Drosophila melanogaster: one gene and its partners. The protein of the gene in region 3 interacts with the protein of the main gene of each other region in a pairwise test. Each region holds a gene or a part of one and is shown on either strand. Other genes may lie near its edges. The genes, in order: mTTF, slgA and PVRAP.

Region 1 (6,708 bases), on a different chromosome or scaffold from region 3:
CGATTTTAAACCAATTCAGATAGTTGACCTATAAGCCAAATGCTTTCCATTCAACAGCGAATTCTGATTTGCAAGTTTCTCCTTCTAATCAATACGCATTGCTAATTGGCGTGCCATTTGATTTGTGGATCTAAGTAAACACTTAGTCACTGTTTATGTCGCTTCACAAATGAAGCGTTAAAAATTCAATTTGCAAGCTCAGCTTTCGGAGCTTTCGAATTTGGCCAACTTGCTGGTATGGCAGTATAAGCTCGGCTTACAAAGTTGTCTTTGCAAAAGCTACTTCACTACTTTTGATCAGTTTTTTGGTATAAATAGGAAGTTGTTTTAGAATTTTCAGCTCATTTCAAGTTTTTCTTTTCTGCCGCTTGTGTGTGTGTATTTCTGATCGGTAGGTTTAAATGATTAAGCAATTAGTTTACTTGGCCTAAACGATTTTCAAAGTTCAGTTGATTTTTTGTGAAACAGTTGTAAAGGTTTAAAAACTTAAAGGATTTGTACTCTTCCTTTTTTTCGGGTTTTAAAGTGACTAAGCTTAATTTAGAATACATATTCTAATATGATCATTAAAAAAAAAACCTTTTCGGAAATGACATAGATAGTTTCGGTATGAATGCGAATTTCAAGCTTCAGCAGTTCTGTCCCACCAACTTGATAATAATAATATTTTCCAAGCCATTATAAATGTTGGCTAATTGAGGCCTATGGCCATAGCTCAGCGTAATGACATTAAACAACCATGTATTGAGATTTTATCTAAACAAATCGCCCAACCGGTTGGACAAAGGCCCATAAATACATAAATATACGGCTAAAAGTCGCAGAGGGAAAGAAATAAAGAAGCAAAACTTGGCTCCGACACTAACATGTCCAATATTGAACTTTAGCATATTGCAAGACAAATGGAAACTTGGCTTACGGGCCGGTCTTGACAAGGTCTTTTCGAATCCATGGCGACCCAAGTGGAGGAGGCCGACGATCAATCAGATCGGTACTTCGAACTCCACAAGCCTCCAATCCACCTTGAACCTGAGAATTCGATTTGAGGAAGTACTTAGGCTGTTGTCTTCAATTGTCACTTGTCATTTCTAGGCGATTTTTATCGCACGGTAAAAAAAAGAGTTACTCTTCTATGGAAATGTACTGCAAACTGGTTTGGCTTTAAACAGTTTTCGTTTACGTCCGAAAAACCAGTTTGATGATTTTTTAAAAATTGGTTTAATCAACATGCATCTTGGCCAATTTCAATATTGAACAAAGCTTTTGTCTGCGCCTTCTTAATTCTGCGAATCTGAAGATTTACGAGCCGATCGTGATTGAAATGTTAAGTTCACTTCGAGTGGTTTCCCGTAAATAATTAAAATGTTTTGATTGACATTTTTTTTCGGCACTAATACTGGTTATTACAAATCAGACAGTAACACTGCAGCCTAATCCACAAATCTTGTAGAATCACAGACTGTCAACAGTCAAGGCTGCAGAGAAATATACCCATTATGGCGACAACTGGGACCGAACAAACTGCATAATAAACGTTGGCGTTGACAAACTGCATAATTGGAGCTAGTTTTCAATATATTTGCGCCTGCCCACGTATACAAGTGTAAACTTTGAAAAGGAAAAAAAAAAAACTAAATAAATAAAAAACTTAAGCAAAGTCAAACTGGCCAAGGCCAGTGAAAAAAGTCTCACTTGAGTGGAAATGTTAATTAATTAATTTATGAAAAACTAGTTAACGCAATTAAGCAGCATGCACGAATCTAAAAATGTTAAACAATGACCGGCAGTAAATATATTTTAATATGTAATTGGATTCAACTTGAAAGCACTAGAAGTTGAAAGTAGAAACATTGACAAGTACTTGTGTCATTAAAACTTGTTCTGCTTAAGCATATTCGGTTATGGAAAATGGAAGGATTTCGCACACTCACTTGGTGCGCTTCGTCACTACGTGGACTGTTCTTCACAGTGATGTAGCATAATTAAGCCAACCAACTGGATTTTAATCGTTACTAAAGCGATGTTTCCAACTCATGTGATATTATTTTTAATTTTCCCTTAAACAGATATGTTCCGTTTGTTGGTTCTTGCGGCCTGCCTGGCCATCAGTGTCCACGCCTACTCCGATGGTGCTCCAAAGGTATGAACCTGCCCCATCGAAATACATGACGGATAGATTCCTTATATTCCCATCTTCATTATCCCAAAGGCCGCCTGTCGTGACCTGACGCCCCAGCACGGAGCCAAGCTGCAGGTGACCAAGCCGCCGTACAGCATCTCCGGACCCTCCCATGTGCGCTCGGATCAAAAGCTGACCCTGACGCTGGGCGGCGATGAGTTCCTTGGCTTCATGATCCAGGCACGCGATGGCCAGAACCGCGTCGTCGGCCAGTTCCAGGTGGTGGACTCCGTGCACTCGCAGACCTTGGACTGCTCCGGCAAGGACGACACCATCACCCATCTGAGTGCGCAAAAGGGCAAGCCGCTGACCGGCATCACCTTCGACTGGATTCCGCCAGCAGGCTACAAGGGCAACGTCAAGTTCATGGCCACCGTGGTGCAGACCGGATTCGTTTACTGGGTGGGTCGCGTCACAAAAGACATCGATGTGGAGTAGTGCTTGTGATAGATGTTTTCATGATTTGTTCAAAATCCTACAAGTCTTTGTTTAGCGTTAATGTTCCGATTAGCTTTGGAGCGTAGTATTTTTGAAAATAAAATCAAAAAGTTCGTTGATAAAATGGGAGTGATTTCAATTGTGGGACTCTCTGTCTAAGAATGCTTAGTAGATTTGAAAATAAATATTGGAAGTGTTTCACACTTATATTTAAAAAGTGTATGTGTATGTTATTGTGTATGAACCAGCACACTTCCTAAACATATTATGAAATCAATTGCACCTAGAAAAGTTATTATATTTTCCTAGAAAACAAATGCTAAATTTATTAAATTGCTGTTCCGAATAACGGTCATTATTTTCAAAACCGATAACGATAATTGTTTGAGTGTCGTATACTCCAGCTTTCAGTTGGCCCACTTGGTCAGCTGTTTATCGCCGCAACATATCAGCTGTTTTCCGCTTGTTTTATAAGTTGAAGAACTTTATTTTCTGTCTTGATTCTGTAAATTAAGCAAATTCGGGATGATTAGAAGCCTTCTGCGCAGCTTTGAGACGGCACTCAAGCTGCATGCCGGCTTAAATATGCACCCAATGCACTGCAGCAGGCGCCTACTCTTCTCGCAGTACGAAAACCGCGCCAGTCCGAGCAGACTGACCTCCAGTGGCACTTTAGGTAGCAACGAGGCGGAAAACGATTATGTGCCTTATCGCCAGGATCGGGAGACTGGAACCAAGACGCGGGTGCTCCTCGAAGCTCTGCGGGAACGTTTTCGCTTCACGGACGCTGAGCTCCAAAAGATAATCAGCGACGAGCTGGTGCACCGCTGCTACCGCGGTAGATCACTGACTCTGGTCATGGACACACTGCAGCTAGAGGGCGTTAGCAGGCGCAGCTTCGTGGAGTATCCTTGGCTACTGTCGCTGGACAATAGTAAGCTCATTTGCTTTATATCCTTTATGTGATTAAATCATCGGTTATTTGTTTATCTATTCAGAACGCTTGGAGCTAAAGATGCAGCTACTCAAGTCAATGGACTTTAAGGACATCAATCATTTTGTGCCTTTCCTGCGCCTCACTGTTCCACGTCTTCGAAAACTGGTGGGTGCTCTGAACTCTGAGAGGGATGCAATGCCACAGCGAAATCGTGTCTACTATATCAGCGAAAAGCTGGATGTCAGCCCCGATATTGTGAGCAAATATCTATCGAAGAGGCTGTTTATCCTGGAAATGCCGTTCGAGATGTTCGAAAAGAACCTGCAGCACATGATCGACTACAATGTGTCGCCAATAAACGTACTCAAGGATCTATGGGCCTTTCGCTATACTCCAAAGTCTGTTCAGTTGCGTTTGGAGCGCGCCAAGCGGGCGAAAAAGGACAAGATCATGCCGTGGATGGTGCGCTGCCCGGAGCCAATACTGCAGCGCTCCCTGAAGCTTTCTCTCGACGAACTGAAGGTTTTGGGAGAGTTCTCCTCCGTGGTGGAATACTTAGCGCATCGTCTTGGTTTCAGCACCAGTGAAGCCAAGGCAATCATGGACAAACATCCGCAGGTGCACACCGTGCGAGTTACCAAGGTAAGTCACAATGGGTTAACTCAAACAATCATAAGCTATACAATTTTGCCTTCAGATCAAAGAGGTGCTAGACTACCTACTCGATGAGGCCCAGTTTACCAGATTTGAGGTCGCTCAAAATCCTCGAATTCTATGCCACAGCCTGAAAACCACAAAGGAGCGCATGGAAGAACTGAAATCGCACGGTTGTCGACCCTCCTCTCTTGTAATTCTTTGCCGCAGCCGGAGGGAGTACGATAAGTTTTTGCAGAACTGGATAAGCCATGAAAGAAATCCGCAAAGTGTATCAGAAGGATGATGAACTGACGAATGACCTGATGCCATCACCGTGAAAGCTTAAAAAGTTGTTGTAAAGTTAAGATACTTTTTTCAAAAGTTTTGCCACGAAATTGAACACGATTAAAAGCCAATATTCAAAAAACGTTATTAATTACGACCAGGGGACCGCTGTTATGATGGTATCTTCATTTTTAAAGGACCCTTAACAAGTAAGGTTTCCATAATATTGTAAGGAAACCAATCAGGGAACCTTTTCGATTTCAATAGGTTTTTTAACCACCAGTCGGATTACTCGTCCTGCGGACAGAAAGTTTAGTTTGTTTAGTTTGGACGACTCTCTGCAGTCATTCTACCACTTCGGATGGCTTAATCAGTTGGAAATTTTCTTTCAACATTTATAAACGCAGAACAAACCAAATTGCAAACTTAGTTAATTAGAAAATTCCAGAAATGTTATTGCCCCTCCACATTTTCACCGTTAGCGATAAAAATTTCTTGAAAGCAAAAGGCAGCTAAATTATTTATGATGTTTATATTTAGCGAATGAAGTATTTTTCAATATTTTGATTGCTTTACAAGAATAGAGAATATTCTATATCTAGATACATAAACTATTACTGAGGTTCAAATAGAATATTGCTAACTGAGTTGTGTATAAAAGACTGGTTACTTTGGACGTGAAGCCACTGCAATTCAAAGTATCATACAAACTGGTCAAGATGTTCATCCAAAGCTTCCTGTTGCTATTGGCGCTCAATTCCCTGTCCGCAGGACCAGTAATCCGGCCGGAAGAACGCATTATCGGTGGACAACCCATTGGAATCGAGGAGGCACCATGGCAGGTGTCCATACAACGTGATGGCAAACATTTATGCGGTGGCTCCATTTACAGCGCAGATATCATCATTACTGCGGCCCATTGCGTCCAGGGCCAGGGATATCAAGTTCGGGCAGGATCCGCCTTGAAGAACTCCAATGGAAGTGTTGTCGATGTGGCCGCTATAAGGACGCATGAGGGATTAGGAAACGACATCGCCATCGTGCGGCTAAGTAAGCCACTTGAGTTCACAAACCAAGTTCAGCCCATTCCATTGGCCAAGACAAATCCCCCGCCTGGATCGATTGCCTTCGTCTCTGGCTGGGGAAGTTCTTCTTATTACTCACATCCCATCGATCTTCAAGGAGTAAACCTTTACATTCAATGGCCGTACTATTGTGGATTAACTGAACCGTCAAGAATATGCGCCGGATCTTTTGGAAGGGCGGCTTGTAAAGGAGACTCTGGTGGACCGTTGGTGTTTGACCAACAACTTGTGGGTGTTGTATCCGGGGGTACAAAGGATTGCACGTATAGTTCAATCTACACTAGTGTCCCATATTTCCGTGAATGGATCTTAAATGCTATCGATGAAATAATGTCAGCGAATCGAAACAAATAAATATTTACAATTGCACAACTAATTTTATCATTTGACTTGACTATTTCCACTATTTTGGCAACATCCCAATTTCCAACGTTTTGACACCCCCACTAGCTGAGTAATGAGTATCTGATAGTCGAATAACTCAACTCTAAATAAATTATTTCTGACAACTCGGTCACATTTATTGCAGACAGCAACTGCTTACACATTGAAATACATATATGCTTATGACATTAATAATTAATTAAAACATTTATAATTGATTTAAATATTTCTCTTAGCTAACATCTAAATACGACTTGTGCTCCATTTGAATACCATTGCGTAGTTGTACTTCAACAGAGAGTAGCAGTTTGATTTGTGACTGGCTTTAAAGCTAGAGAAGACATGGAGTAAGCGCCAACAGATTCCACAGCTTAAAAGTACAGATAAAGCTATAAATTTGAAAACCACTTCAGAGACAACATCTTCCTCGACTCGCACCATCTCGATAAGCTCGTTACACATTCAGCCTCAAAAGAAGAATCGAACTAAACGCTAAGAAAATCTTTGTGCTGGCTTAGAAATATCTTTGGTTGTGTAGACTTCGGATTAGATTGTACTCTCGACTTAGTCGCGTTGGGCTCGCCGTCGCTCCAATGCCACCTGCATGGACCAAATGCTCAACGGACGCATATAGCCAATGGAGCGATAGCGCTTCTCACCGTACAACGCTTCCGGGGTCTCGAAATTCATGCCGATGCGCTGGGACAGGGTCTTGTACATTCCGCCGGCGGTCTGGAAGGCTTCCTCGAACATGCCCTCCTGTA
Region 2 (7,420 bases), on a different chromosome or scaffold from region 3:
GTGGGGAAAGAAAAGAGCATTCTCCGTCTGGGGAAACCGGTTTCGTCGAGAACACTAAAGTAATTAATTGAATACAAAGTTGTCGAAAGAGCACACTGCCGACAATATAAATACACCATCACCAAAACTGGTTACATAAAACAAATTTTCGTTTCGCATTATATTTTTTTTGGGTATGGCATGTTTTGCTTTGCTAGTCTTTTAACTTTTCTTTGGCAGACAATTCGAAACCGAGGACAGGTGTTTGCCGTTGAGCTCTGGCCCCAAAAAACAAAAAAAACAAAAAAAGCTGCCCCAGCAGAGCCAACACCACCCCCGGTCACCTAGCACCTGGCACCTGCCACAGTACCCCATCCTCAACCATGTTTTTTACCCATCAATACCCAACCCATTCTCACATATCACGAGACCCACACCGCTCCTCAGTCCCCAAAAGCAATCGACGCGCTACTGTAAATAGAAATGGCGAAAAAATAAGTACACTCTGATACAAATTCAAACGAATATGAGACCCCAATTGTGTTATTGAACTGTGTGCAACAGTTCTTGAGAATGTTCTCACTATATTTAGTACCAAAAGTATAACTAATTGAATGCTAGAACGCTCAAAATCGATTGTGCAAACGATGTTTTCAAATAGATTGCGCCGAGTCTGGTAAAGGAATGGCTTACCAATTTTTTTCTAGTGCAGAGATGTGGGCAAAGTCGATGTCTGACTAATGCCACATGTGATGTGATGTCTACGGTCCCAGGGAGCTGTGCGGACATTCTCTGTGACGTCCATTTAGCCACCCATATATGCAAATTGCATCGAGCGGGGCGAAAAAATGATAAATAAGTAACAGTCTTGGCGACGCATGCACTTTGAGTAATCGATAAGCAATCAAACGATCGCCGACGCTATTAAATAGAAGCACGCTAGCGAGAATGGGGTAAATGCGAGGGGTTTTCCAACGATTCCGATTGGCGCTCATTCGGGGGCCTGACTATATAACGACCTATATATACTATGCAGTCCTACACAGTTCACACAATCCATACGTCTCGCTGAGTAAATACGCACGAGTTAAGAGCAAATAGCGGACCGGGCAAGGTCGCCATCGCAGCGGCAATTTGCATGCCAAAGTTTCCCTTTTTCCTGCCGTCAATCAGGCACTCATTCAATCTTCTGTGCGACTGCAGCACCTGCCAGAAAGTGGCAACAAATGCAACAAGCAATTAGCCAGGAATTCATCAACACGAGGGGAGCAAACGAAAACTCGCTGCGGGTCGGGTGAATTGAAAAGCGGAAGCAGGGCGGAAAATCGGAAGGAAAGCAGCCAGCCACCTGACACGGGCTTCGGTTGCCCGGAAAATCGGAATCAAGCGAATGGAAGCTTGGCAGGATCGAAAAAATTCATGAATAAGACAAAAAAATTCATGAATAGAAAAAAGGAAGCAAACAAAAAAATTAAATATTCTTCTACGTTCAGTTTCAGACAACTTTAACATTATACATACATGGAATTCAATAGCCCTAGCTGTTCATAACTTTTGTTTACTCTTCAAGTGTCCAAGAATCCATGTACATGAATATATTTAAATAAAGCATTTTAAAGGAAGTATTTATAAAATAAATGAATGAATTATAATAAGTTGAAAGCAGCAGAAGAGGACAGAAGAGGCGAAGAGTCAGCACACACTTCGAGAGTTGAAACAAATGGTTTCGAAATCGGTCACTATCTAAAACGATACTTACTTAATTGTAATATTAAGAAAGCATTAAGCAGGGGTTATGTACTAACAGAGCCCCAGATTTCTCAGCAAACAGAACCAGAAACAGAGAGCTAGAGAGAGAGAGAGAGATCTCAGCTAGTCGATGGATTGGACCAATTCAAGGGTCAAAGGTCGCAGGACTCGGCAGAGGAGGAGTGGGGGACACCGATTAACTCACCGTCATGTTGTGCTCGACCAGCTTCTCGCTGGAACATATCATGTAGACGAGATAGGCGCGTATTAGCTCTCCAGTGGTCTTGCTCTTGAAAGCAGCAATCGGATCATTAAAGCTCACGTCCAGGGGATCCCTCTGCGGCGAGCCAGCGGGCGAGGGGTTCTTTTCCTGGGACGACTCCTGCTTCATCGATCGCTTCACCGTCTCGCTGGAGACCACCTCCGGTTGGACCAGAGTGGAGGCCTGCAGCGGCCGGTCGCCGCTGTGCAGGAAGCGCGCTCCATTGACTCCTCTCGTGGACTCCGATGCTGCTCCTTCTCCGGCGATGCTGGTGCTCCCGCTGCCGCGCTGATGGAAACTCCGGCAGGCGGCGACGGCCACGGAATTGCTCGACTTGCTGCTATTACGGCCGTAGACCAAACTGATGGCTGTTCGTTGGGCGCTCAGCGAACGGAGTAGAGCCATTACAAGGGATTCTGCGGTTTATTTACGCTTTCTGCTCTTCGGCTTTTGAGACGGTTATTGAAACGCACTCCAATCTCGGTTGTTGCTGCAAAAAGAAAACAATGGAAAGCAGAGGTAATTTCACTATTATCTCTACAAATCACTACGAATCTGAGGGAAGACAGTGGCGTAACGAAGAGATTACTAAAGGTGGTTATCTCGTTTTCAACTCGATTACAATAACGTTTTAAAAAGTGGAAATGTGGTACATATATAACAAAATTATTACGACTGTTTCAAAATATGCATTGATTTTCAATAAGATCATATAGAATTGATTTAATTGTAATTGGATGATATCTAATTAATATAAAAATAATAAACAAATGTATAATAAAATTCAATTTATAAAAATATTAAAATCAGTGTACATATTATTATTGCAACTTTTTGCCTAATTGTGTTTTTTGCCCCCCCACAAACCCCACGCCAACGCCAATGATCACAGCTGATTTTGTCGGAGAGCTTTTCGCTCTCCCTCTTTCGCTCGCTCCGAATGTTATACAACAAATGCGAAAAACGTGAGGCGGCGAGGGAGAGCGAAGCCGAAAAAAACAGCACAACACAATCACACGTACGCAAGTACACCTTCGAAATGTTCAATTAAAAAAGTCAATTTCTGGGCAGAAATCTATCTTTCGCTATTATGTGTCTTTTGGGTTTTCTTCTTACTTCGTTCTTATTATTTATTCTATTACGCTTTGAGCGTTGTATACGCCGCAAAAGCACGAAACCAAATGCGACGAAGACGCGTGAAAATGGGGCGAGTTGTTAAGCGACGGCAAATTCAACGAAGCGAAACGAGGAAGGACCCGAGGGCGAGAAAATCCTTTTCGCCGCTTCGCTCCCGTTTATGTAACTGTAAATGTAACCGAGATTGTACCGTAATTGTAACTACGACTGTGTGACGTCACAGGCATGCCAGCCCCGTTTGCTTCTGATTTTGATTTTGATTTGGAATTTGTTTTGATTTAATTGAAATGCGCCGAAAGCACACACTAATTGGTGTTAATTGCGGCTCTCCTTGATTCTCCCCAATTTTCGTTCTCAGTTTTCCACCCATTAACCCCTTTTCCCTTTTTCATTTTATTTATTAATTAGCAGCCCGCTAAATAATCGCCAGACGGGAGGCTGCAATCAATCGAAAAAACTTGGCGGGTTTCATTGCACAGATTTCATTACACTTCATTATGGGCTATATCAAGTTCTGTCTCGCTCTGGCCGCCTTGGTTAAAGGGAAACAGGGAGCTGCCGTACTTAAATTGCGAATTCATCTGAATGGTTTTTTTTTTTTTGTTTTTTTTTCTTCATTTTTCTTATTTGTTGCTATGCGGCGAATTGTACCTATTATATAACACTGCTTACTGCTCTCTACCTCGCTTTGTAGAGATCCTTTTATGATACGAATACAACGCAGCCACTCACATGTACACTGCAAAATTTCGCTTGGGTTTGTGGGTTTCCTCTATTTGCTCGATATAAATTTTGCTTTAACGGTTGTTTTGTCACTTCAAAAAAAACAAACTACGATACATAACCAGCAACGACCCAAAAACAATAATAAGGGTAAACAATACAATTTTGTAGAATTTGTAGAATTGCCAAATATAGTTTTTCGGAAAAACTCGTGTTTGTTTGACAAACTTCTCACAGCAGCCTGCGAGAAAAGTAGAAAAGTTCCCGTTTCTGTCAGCGCATTTGCTCACCTCACAAAAGACACACAAGTACAAGTACAATTATAATTATTTTTCGGTTTTTTCGAGTCAATGTTGTTCTTTTCGAGGGTTTTTGGTTTTTGCTGCTGCAACAGAGAGCGTGAGCACGCGCAAGGGTCTGAATTCGCGAATAAACTGAAACACATGAAGCGAAATTAAGGCCAACACGGCGAAAGCTCGTCCAAAAAAGCTTGAGAGAAATTGTTGGACCAGTCGGTGAGGGGCAGAAAGGGGATGGGCCACCCCCAGCAGCTGTTTGGGCTGCACGTGAGCGAAAAAAAGAAACCCGATCGAAAATTAATCGCCATCTTGTCAACTCTTATTACCCAATAAAAATCGGCACGCTTATCTAGGCCCCTGGCGGTTGGCCGGGAATCTTCGGTGCTCTTATCTTATCAATGGACTCCCACACCAGCGTCCAACAAAAACGAACCATTCCTTCTATTCATCTCTCTCCCTGTCTCTTTCTTGACAACCGGCGTCTTGCAACACTGGCCTCGCAAACAGGCTTGCTTTACACCCAGATCACTGGAGAAATATATCGATACGAAATATACGCTCGCAAAATTTGAAATTTAGTTTCAGGTACGAAAATTATTCAAAATGTTTCTCTGTGTAAAGAACGCTTATCGTGGACTCAAGAAAGTATCAAACAGATTTATTTTAATTGCACTATTTACGCAAATATAAGGCCACCAAATGAATATAAGTTTTCTAAATCTTTCTAATCGGACCCTCCCAAGCCAAATATTTCCTTTTGCTGTGTGCCGAAAGAAGGGATTTTAGAAAAGTTTGAATTATTGTTAGTTACAAAATTGAGTATCCGAACTATTTGTTACTTTCAGCTCGCAATATAAATATAATATAAATATCGATAGTTATCGCCGTCTCACAAATCTACACACCAGCGATCTCTAAAAATGTCCTTTGGGTTTGTTTTAAGCGATTTTTTCGGTTACAAATTTCAAACATATTACTTCGTATAAAATCTTTTAAACTGATTAAAATTAAAAACAAAGCGATTCGGCTTGTGACACTAACAAAAAAAAACCTTTTACGTCTCAATTTACTTTACTTTAAAATTGTTTATAGAAAAAAGGTAAGAAAGTTAAGAAACATTTATGGCATCAAAGAAATCATGTTAACGTAAAAAAAAACTACAAGAACTATATGCACTCCATATTTTTTAATATACACAATGTATGCGTACATAGATACCAAATTGTTCCCGTATACTGATTACTTACTGGCGTTTCATAGATAAATATTGCAAAATTGGCTCTTCAAAATGAAAATTCCAAGTTTCCATTTTAAAATGAATATATTTTTGTTTGCAAATTGTTTGCGTTTCGACAAATATAGCAATAAGTTACGACTACATATTAGAAATAATAATAATTAACATTTAATGAGCGACCGCTGCTGTTGATTTTGCTGCTTAGCGAACGCGGCCCGAAAAAGGAGAAACTTAACAAGAAAAAAACAGAACAAGTTATTTAAATACCAAATATATACATAGATATATGCGTGTGAAACTGACTCGGGTCTCCTCCTACCGCCGTCATAACAAACAATACATAATTCGCTATCGCCGCGACTCTCTTCTCGCATTCTCTTCGGCTGGCTTGATTTTCTGTTATTACATAATATTATTGACTAAATTGTAGATCAACGAATGTCTGTTTTTCCATCTCCATTGGGCACCACCAGCAAATAGCTTTAAGCATCGTAAGTATCGAAAATGGGTGCTTAACTTGACCGCAAGACTATCATAAGGGCGACAAATTCAGTTTAAGGTTTTCGATTGATGCGACAATGTTAAAACAATTGAATATTAATGCACAGTTGTGCGGATATGAACTGAATATTTTGGATATGTGTGCAACATAGCCCGAAAAACATGTAAAACCTATCTATATATGTATGTAAATAAAATATAAAGTATTATTCCTCAGCTCTGACGTAATGAATGATGATATGAATAACTGCTAAGGACATGCTCTTTTGCTTTCCTAAAAACTATATAATAAGGTAAACAGGGAATAGTTTAAATATCTAAACATAATTTCAAATTATTGCAACAGGATATACATATGTGAATATGTCTTCCCCAAGTATGACAATCTTGCAGTTCGCTATTTTGATTTGGGCTAACTATTTGGTGGTAATGCTGGACAGCCAGTGGTGCTGCTGATGTTATTGGTGTTGCAGGCGCTAGTTGGACTTGGTCAGCTCAGTGCGGTTGGCGGCCACTTCGGCCAGAATGAGTAGATCTGAGGTAGAGGAGGTCACGTCGAAGGCCGCCTGCGAGGAGAGCGAGGAGGATGACGACGAGGAGTTCGAAGAGAGCGGTGGCGAGGCCGACGACGAGGTTACAGGGGCATTCACCGCCTTGGGAGCACCGCTCTGGTTAAAGTAGTAGCTGCCATTGATGGTCAGGGGCAGAATTGAGGCCACCTCCTGTTCAATGGCACTAACATCGCGCCGGGTGATACTTTCCTTGCGCGCCTTTCGTCGCTGGCTTCCCACAGCCTGCAGTTGCTGCTGCTTGATCCTCACGTGTTGCTCGCTAGATAATGGGACAGCACCTTTCGCCGCAGCATCTGCTGCTGCCACATTCGAAGTTGCTGATGCACCACTTGTGCTGTTCGAATTCCTCTGTTTCTTGGTGCCGCTAAACTTCTTCTTCTTTTTGGTGCTACGTTTGCGCTGCAGGTAAGCGTCCAAGCTGAGGGCTGGCAGCTCTTTGATTTTCTCCTCGAGATCAAAGAAACCACTGCTGCTTGACTCGGAAACGCTTCTTATATGTTTTTGCATGGAATCCGGACTGCTACCCTGACGTTCCGGTGGCGAAACGGGCGGTGTATTGGGTCCCGCATCCAAGGGGATGTCCACAAAGTTTCCACCCATGTTACCTGCCGGCGGCAAGCGAGCTTTGCTCTTCTTAGCTATGGCCGCCAATTGACCGGAATTGACCAATTCCTGGTAAATCTTGCCCTTGCAGGAGCGTGATGACTTGACCTTCTTGTTTGGCGAGCTACCACTGGCCGCCTCCTCCTCGCTGGAGTTGCTCGAGTTGTTGTCCTGCAAGGAGCGCTTATTGCCATTCCCATTTGTATTGCCAGCTGGCATATGGGCAGATAGAAACTGGCTGGTCTCGCTGAGCACCTGCTGTAGGGCGAAGTCCTTTTCTTGTACTTGAACTTGCAGTAGGGAGCTTAGCTCGCCCATCTGCGTTTCGTCTGCCAGTTTAAAGTAGTTGGGGCGCAGC
Region 3 (7,224 bases):
GTCTTACTTTGCTCGGCTTTCTCGCTTTTTTCGTTGCTTTGGCAACTTCCAGGACGATTTTGTTTGCCTGCTTAGTGCGTACGTGTACGTAGTTGTGAGTGTGTCTGTGAGTGAGTGAGTCTGCATTCTGTGCTCGTGTGTGGGTGAATATCTCTGCGAAGTGCGTGTTCGCCAACACTCGTGGCTGAGCGCCTGTTCCGAAATATTCTCCGTGTGTGGGTGTATCGCACACAGACACAAGCCCACAGAAGCGATGTGCCGTGAATATGCATGTGTATGTGTGAGCGCCATGTTGCTGGCAACATTGAAATGGCAATTTTGGTGCCGAAATGTTGCCGAGCCGCTTGAAGTGCTGCCGAGTGTTTTGATAGCGGGCCAACTAAGCCCCAGAGATTTTACTCATATGCACACATCATCTCGGCAATTTTAAGCGGCTTACGACGACGATGATGCCGTCGCAGAATTTTCATTACTAAGCCAAAGGTGAATACCTCATACTCCGAATCATCCGCACAGAACGTTCGCCATTCTCCTCAAGTGCGCAGTCAACTTCAAAAGGCTGGCAAATTCTATGGGTTAGCGAAGGAGTCTCAAGGCAAACACAGATCAAATCTTATCGGGAATCATTTTATGAGCAAAATTAATACGCTTCAAGCCAACTGAAGCGGCTGAGCGACTGGCAAATTTGTAGACGTTTTGTTGTTGCCCAGGCAACTTGAACATCCCCATCCTCGACGAAAGGCAACAATATAATGAGCCAGAGCAGGTGGCAGGAGTGGTATCAAAAGATTGATACAAAAAGATATGCTTTGGCACTCGAAAAAATAAGTACTTTTAAGATAATATAAATATTTTATAACTACTTAATTGGAACCTTAGCATTGATGTTTTTCTTTCAATTCTTGAATGTTTATTTAGGAAATCATTTTTCTTTAAAATCCATATAATACATGAAGTTATGAATTTCTGTAAATATTTTCGCAGTGAAATAACGGGCTCACGGGCAACGACATCGTCATGGAAATTCTTCATTAACTCAACTCGGGCGCTGAGAGAAAAGAAGTTTATGTTATTAAGAACATGGAGGAGTGGGCGGAGAATGATGGCAATGGTTACTATCCGTGGCGGATGGGGGCGTGGCTAGGCTGTGAAGGAGGCAGCCGGAGCAGCAGCTGTTGTTGTAGTAAAATGTGTGTTTTACTTGACAAGAAAGAGATAACGGTAAATGAATATGCAGCAATTTGCACGCCCACATAATGAGTAGGGCGATGGTGGCGGAGAGAGGCATGGAGGGGGGAAGCGGTAAGGATACCGCCGGCGGGCAGAGACTGAAATAATAACAGCAGCAGAAAAGCAACAGCATCAGCCGCTAAACAAAAGTCGATAAACATAAACCAGGCAACGCAGACAAGCGCTGATAAGTGTGCTACACTTTCCACAGGAAACGGAAGGCGTGGGCTTGCATGTGTTTGCTTGTATTTGTGTGCGAGTGTGTGCGGGTGTGTGTGTGTGAGGCAAAAGTAAATTAAAACGATTTTAATTACGGTTGCCAAGACGATGAATGAAAATGTCAACGATGCCGGGCGACAGCAGGTGGGCGTGGCGTAGGCGTTCAAGGAGTGAAAGAGTGCGGAAAAATGAGACAACTCCTAAAAGCCTTTCGTTGTACCGCTTGCTGAGCAGCAGTGTGAATTATGGCACATGTACAAGGCGCTTATGCACCGAAAAAAACGAGGATCCTTTAATAAGTTTCAACAGTGATTTAAGCTACTACAAAATACTATTTTACAGTACACTTTAGGCCAACAAATACGTTTTGAATAAGAAGCCACAGGTTGACTTAATAACGAAATTTATTAAATGAAGTGCAAAACTTAAATTCATACATTTCCTGAATAAAAAAATTAAATCCCTTTTTTATAGTTTATCAAATCTGTATATGACAACTCTTTTTCATTCGTGTACGTATGTGCCAGTGAGTGGAATAAAAGCAGATTTTCATTTAGACTCTGTTTTGTTGTCTTTAGCTACTTGACAAGAGCCAGAAGCCAAAGTCACTGCCAAGAGCAACACCAGCAAACTTTAACAAATAAACGGGTTTTCAGGAAAAAGGGAGAAAAATGGGGAAAAATAGAAGTAGGAGCAGCAGTCGCTTCTAGCTCAAACAAACAAGCTCCATTTTTATGAGGCTCTTTTGTCTGAGGCTGCTATTCCGCCTTTTTTCCCCTAACTTTTTTTATACCTTATTAACGCTCGCTCACTCGCTTGTTGAAAATGAAAAGTTTTCGTTGCGGGCGTGAAATTTTTTTTTTCCCACAACCGAAAAAAACAAAGATGGAATGCTGAAAAGCCACCGAAAAAAAGGAGAGCAGAAACCATGGCTTGCTGATTAACTTGACACGGCCAAGAGCGGCGAGGGAAAAGTGTCGCGGAAAAGCGGTGGGTGGTGAGGTGAAAAATTCGCGGTTCGTATGCAGCTGACAGGCAGCACCTGTCGCCGCTGCGGAAGTGTCGACTGCGAATACGAATGCGACTGCGGCCAACAAACCGCCGCTTGACATTTCCTTGGCGACGCTTTTCAAGGAAAATGTTGCTGGCTTGGCGAGGGGTTCGGAAAACGTGGTGGGCGTGGGGCGGTGGAAGGACGCTGCGGTGGCCTTGTGTATCTTATTTTGTGACTGCATTTAAGTGCATTTTTATGCCACAGATTTAAGTGTAAGCCAGTGGATTGCCAAAGTTTGTCCAGGGGTTTATCTTCATTAATTTCCGCAGTGCTTTTTAATGCAGCAGAACTTCATATTAACCCCAAAAGTGTGCTGTGGCAAGTAATTCGACTTGGGCGCTTCTTTATAATCGTGCCATAAAATCGACAACAGTTTTTAACGGACGCGTTCTGATTGGATTCCTTCTTTTAAACTGCTAGCATTGCTTTAAGTTTTACCATATCCTAAAAAATCAGTATTTATAAAAGTAAAGATCATATTCTTATCAACGAAATCTCATTGCTGAATTCAGAGAAAACCAAAAGGTTTCTTTAATAAAAAAAGGTCTTTAAAAGCAGTCTTTCAAGAGCAGTACATTCCATTGAATTGGCATAGTTTTATATTACTTTATTCACACCGAAACGTTTTTCTCGGGCATGCTCGCGTGCATTTCAACGCCCCGAGGAATTTAAAGTTTTTCGGAAAAGCTGATACACTTCACTCCAAACATGTTGACAGCTTAACAGGAAGTCTGCCCCAAGAAGTACGGCGACACCCCGAAAAAAGTTGATTCCTATCCTTGGAGCCCGTTGCACCCCCATTTGCCGCTGATAACTTTAAGCCGAACGAGGCCAGAAAGTGTAGCAGCTTTCGTGGCAAAAGTTTGCAATGCATTTTGATGTGCAGCCAAAGTGCCAAAAGGTGGCAAAATGCAGAGGGGGGAAAACTCTCTGCGAATAATTATATAGAGAAGATGAAAGGACCGGAGGCAGCGAAGCGAAACAAGAGCCTATGCAATTCTTTCAAGTCAAGGCTACTGACCTTTTTAACACTGTTTGTCAAGGATGCAAAGGGCCGACTTTGATCCCAACAAAGGGATAAAATAAACCCAAATTGACCAACAAACAAGACTTGTATATCCAAAGGATATTTAGGATGTGGAGCCAATAATGAAATTTGTCGTGTGTCCCACTCACCTTAGTATCAATTTTTGGCGGCAATTTTCGTTATGTTCACGACCTTTATTTGCGTTTTCGTCTTATTGCCACAATAATCCAAAGGAAAACTGGCCAAAGTTTTCGCATAAAATTCAATTACGATTGTGAACTCATAAATCGCAACACTTGGCCGCGTTTTACGATTACGTCTTTTGATTTCGAGCACGGAAAGTGTGAAACTTTTTTGGTTAACGCGGCTACTTTGTTATCACTGTTATCGGGCCACGACTCTGGCAATAAAATTACCCCGTCGCGTCGTTAAAAGTTAAACGACCCTTTGTGCTAAACTGGGGGATTTGTTAAGTTTTTATGACTTTCGACGAATTTCGGACAATGTTGAAGTTTTGGGCATCTGCCAGTTGTATACGGTTAGGTGCCTTTTTGGGGCAACCTTTGCAGTTGAAAGCGCGCAAGGAACTGTTTATCCTGGCCCCATGTGCTGGCATTTTTGTGCTAAGCCCGAAACTTGGTATCCTGCCACGAAACTTGGCATCCACAACAGCGCATGCGCTGGATTTCCTCGGAATGTGGATGTCTGGAGTGGGACAGGACCTTTCCAGTCTGCATTCAACTGGTGGTTGGCTTGCCAATCGAATCCTCAAAGAACTGCCATATGTGCATGGTTGTCGTGACAACTTGATTTTCTCATAAGCTAACGGTTTCTCATTTCCTACTGCCATGAATTTGATAAGATTTTATTACGATTTTTGCCGGTGGCAACCTTTGATGCGCCCAAACATCCACTAGTTTGAAATCCGAAGCTGATCTAATTATGCGACCGTTTAGCAGTGCATACTTTTCAGAGACTTAAAAGAGGGCCGGTAAACATCTGAAAAGGAGAAAGGACTGTCGAATGACATTAGGGCAAATCCGCTTACAGATGCGGAGATGAGATGAAGATACGGAGGGTCGTCCATTGTTTATGCAAGCGCATTAAGCTGAGGCTTAGCTAAGGATACACTGACTACTCGGCATGGAGATGCAGATGGGCAGATGCGGATACTGAGATACTGAGAAACAGAGATACAGATACGGATTTAGATACAGTAGCCCAGCTCACACCCACAAGCAGCAGCGACATGTTGCGGTTTTGCGAGCAGTAGATTGACCTGGCCAAGAAGCCCAAACAAAACCGCATGTTGCAGGGCGTGGCGGCATCTTAAAGCAGTCCGAATCCAGCTGCAAAATTTGAAACTGAACACTCAAAACTCACAAATGAAGAACCTATGGATAAATCGAAAAGTCAGCGATGCGAAGTTGAACTCATTAACGGCAGTGAGTGGAAAGTCGTTGTCATGTAATCCAATGCCGTGTACCAAATTGGAATCTCGTATTTCTCATAGATACACGGCGATACGTGCACACGTATAAAAAGGACTAATAAAAGGAGGAAAAATCAACTAAGAAAAATGGAAACTCGCGTGGATATTTCGTGATTTTCCGTCTGTAAGCGCCGGCGTGCAATCTTCTTTTTATATGCCATCCATTTTATTGTTTATTTACAGCATTGTTTAGTAGCATATATCCGCGTGTATATATACATAGATACTAGTATATTCCCCAGTCAGCGTTGATTTAATGGCTGTAAATTGAAATGGAATACGCGAAAAATGGAGAAAAATGTTGGGACAGGTGAGCTGAGTTGATTTGGCAGAAATATATTTATTGAAAAAGTTGTCAGAAAAGAATTTAAAAGAATAAAACTTTGCGGATTGAAATTTGCATTTCACAGTTGTACGCCGGCTTACGTCAAACATTTTCTATCCTTTATGGATTTTATTATGTATTTTAAAAGCCTAAAAAGGCTTTTTTTCTTGCATATTTCACGAAGAAAAAGGGAAAACAGGTGGTTAAGAAAAGTTCCAAATTTATCTATCGGCTTTTATCCTTTGCCTAACCATTTAAAGGAAACCCAACTTCTGGTTGCCAATTTCTGTTTATCTTTCTTGTATCTTTTCCTCGTTTTGCTTACATTACGAGCGGAAATTTGATTTGTTTCTGATAAATGCCATTTATTTTACTTGTTTAAGTCCTCCCACTCGCTTGCCCCTAACTTTCCATGAAATTCAATTGCCAAATTGATTCAACTTTTTCCCCTCGCTGCAAAAAGCCATGGAGCTTCGCGTTGAGCCGCAGATAATTGAATGATTTGAATTTGTATATTGAATTTGGCTTTATACATAGCTGAACACGCCCATTTTTCATTTAACGCCCACCACCCGGCCTTTCATCATATTTGGCAGTTTGGCAGTGCGAAATTTTTGTTCATCGTGTTGCGTGGGATTTTTCTATTAAAATGGAAATTGTAGGCGAATTGGAAAATTGCTTATCAATTGACGGGGGGCATATGCTTCAAGGATCAAACGGAGGCTAAAATTGATTTCCCTAGCCGCCACCATTTTCCGATGACCCCGCGCACCCACGCCCCGTTTATGCTGCAATTAAGTATAAAATTAAGTTTTTCCCTTGCCAGCGAGCTTAATTGAGTTGTATGTGTGGATTTCATTCCCATGGAATTGGGGTGAATCCCTCTTGGAATTTAATTTAATCCACTGAAGCGTTACGCCGCCAGAAAATGCATGGCGAATTTTTTTCCGAATATTGCGCTGCCTGCCTTCTTTTAATTGTTTGTTACATGGGAATTAAAGACAACTGCCCGCATGATGATGTAACCATATCGATGGAGGGTGCACATATATGTATACATAATGATCTCCCCAAGCAGACGAAGTGTCTAAGAGCGCTCCTTTCTAGACAGACATGAAAAGGAAACCCTGGGCTGGCTAATGGCAAGGTGCTCTCGAGCTCCTTTGTTGCCAAAGAACAAAAAACACAACTATTACTTATTGGTTCGTGGAATGCAACTAGAACGGCATAGAAACCCTCTCTCAAGTGCCACTCCACATTTCGACCTTTGTTTCGCAATCGAGTTTCGATTCAAAAGCAATACAAACACGCACTGCGGGTGCCACTTCAACCGGTCGAAATGGGAATAGGAATGGAATTGGAAATGCTAGAATCGTTTGAGAAACTGCGTCACCATAAATTGTAATTACCCAGAATTCACGCGACCCACAGTCTCAGGAAGAGGAAAAAAATATAAAGTGTCAAGGGGCGTGTGCAGCGACACTTCGCCGACCCCTCCCCACATTATTTTTTTTGCCGCCCGCTGGTACCAGGTACCGCCCGCCGACTAACGGTCTATATCTATGTGCGTGACTAGCGGTGGACTACCGAGCGGCGATAGTTTATGGAACGTGCTGGACTTTGAATAGGTATGATATAGATAGATGTGATAAAGTGTAAGGATTAAGGCTAAAACACATATTTTGTTAAGCGTGATATAAAAAAAATAGCATATATATATTAATATTATATAAAATTCAACATTTTTAAAATTCCAGATCCTTGTTTCTTTTTTCTGCGTAGTAGCCATACCCCATCACTATCCCATCCCTAACCATCACATATGTGTCGCATAACCTAAAGACGTTTACAAATGAATTAGGCCAGTCCATTGCAAA

What was found.
Region 1: the proteins of PVRAP (region 3) and mTTF interact in a two-hybrid assay, tested with the Drosophila melanogaster proteins (one large-scale study listed by BioGRID).
Region 2: the proteins of PVRAP (region 3) and slgA interact in a two-hybrid assay, tested with the Drosophila melanogaster proteins (one large-scale study listed by BioGRID).

Annotation. Positions count from the first base shown.
Region 1 is NT_033779.5:14,345,141-14,351,848, reverse strand, and holds mTTF (mitochondrial transcription termination factor), read left to right. Parts: upstream 1-3,058; 5' UTR 3,059-3,142; coding exon 3,143-3,551; intron 3,552-3,615; coding exon 3,616-4,196; intron 4,197-4,251; coding exon 4,252-4,494; 3' UTR 4,495-4,610; downstream 4,611-6,708. Other genes in the region: l(2)34Fc (lethal (2) 34Fc), read left to right, coding at 2,069-2,140, 2,210-2,617; Send2 (spermathecal endopeptidase 2), read left to right, coding at 5,195-5,914; CG33090 (uncharacterized protein), read right to left, coding at 6,509-6,708. UniProt on the Drosophila melanogaster protein: Transcription termination factor. Binds promoter DNA and regulates mitochondrial replication and transcription.
Region 2 is NC_004354.4:21,371,180-21,378,599, reverse strand, and holds the start of slgA (sluggish A), read right to left. Parts: upstream 4,289-7,420; 5' UTR 3,860-4,288; exon of another isoform or gene 3,779-3,859; intron 3,179-3,778; exon of another isoform or gene 3,107-3,178; intron 2,491-3,106; exon of another isoform or gene 2,481-2,490; 5' UTR 2,396-2,480; coding exon 1,934-2,395; intron 1-1,933. Other genes in the region: bbx (bobby sox), read right to left, coding at 6,364-7,420. UniProt on the Drosophila melanogaster protein: Converts proline to delta-1-pyrroline-5-carboxylate. Involved in the conversion of proline to glutamate, which functions as a transmitter at neuromuscular junctions. Glutamate deficiency could possibly account for reduced motor activity.
Region 3 is NT_037436.4:5,994,109-6,001,332, reverse strand, and holds the start of PVRAP (PVR adaptor protein), read right to left. Parts: upstream 4,126-7,224; 5' UTR 3,680-4,125; intron 1-3,679.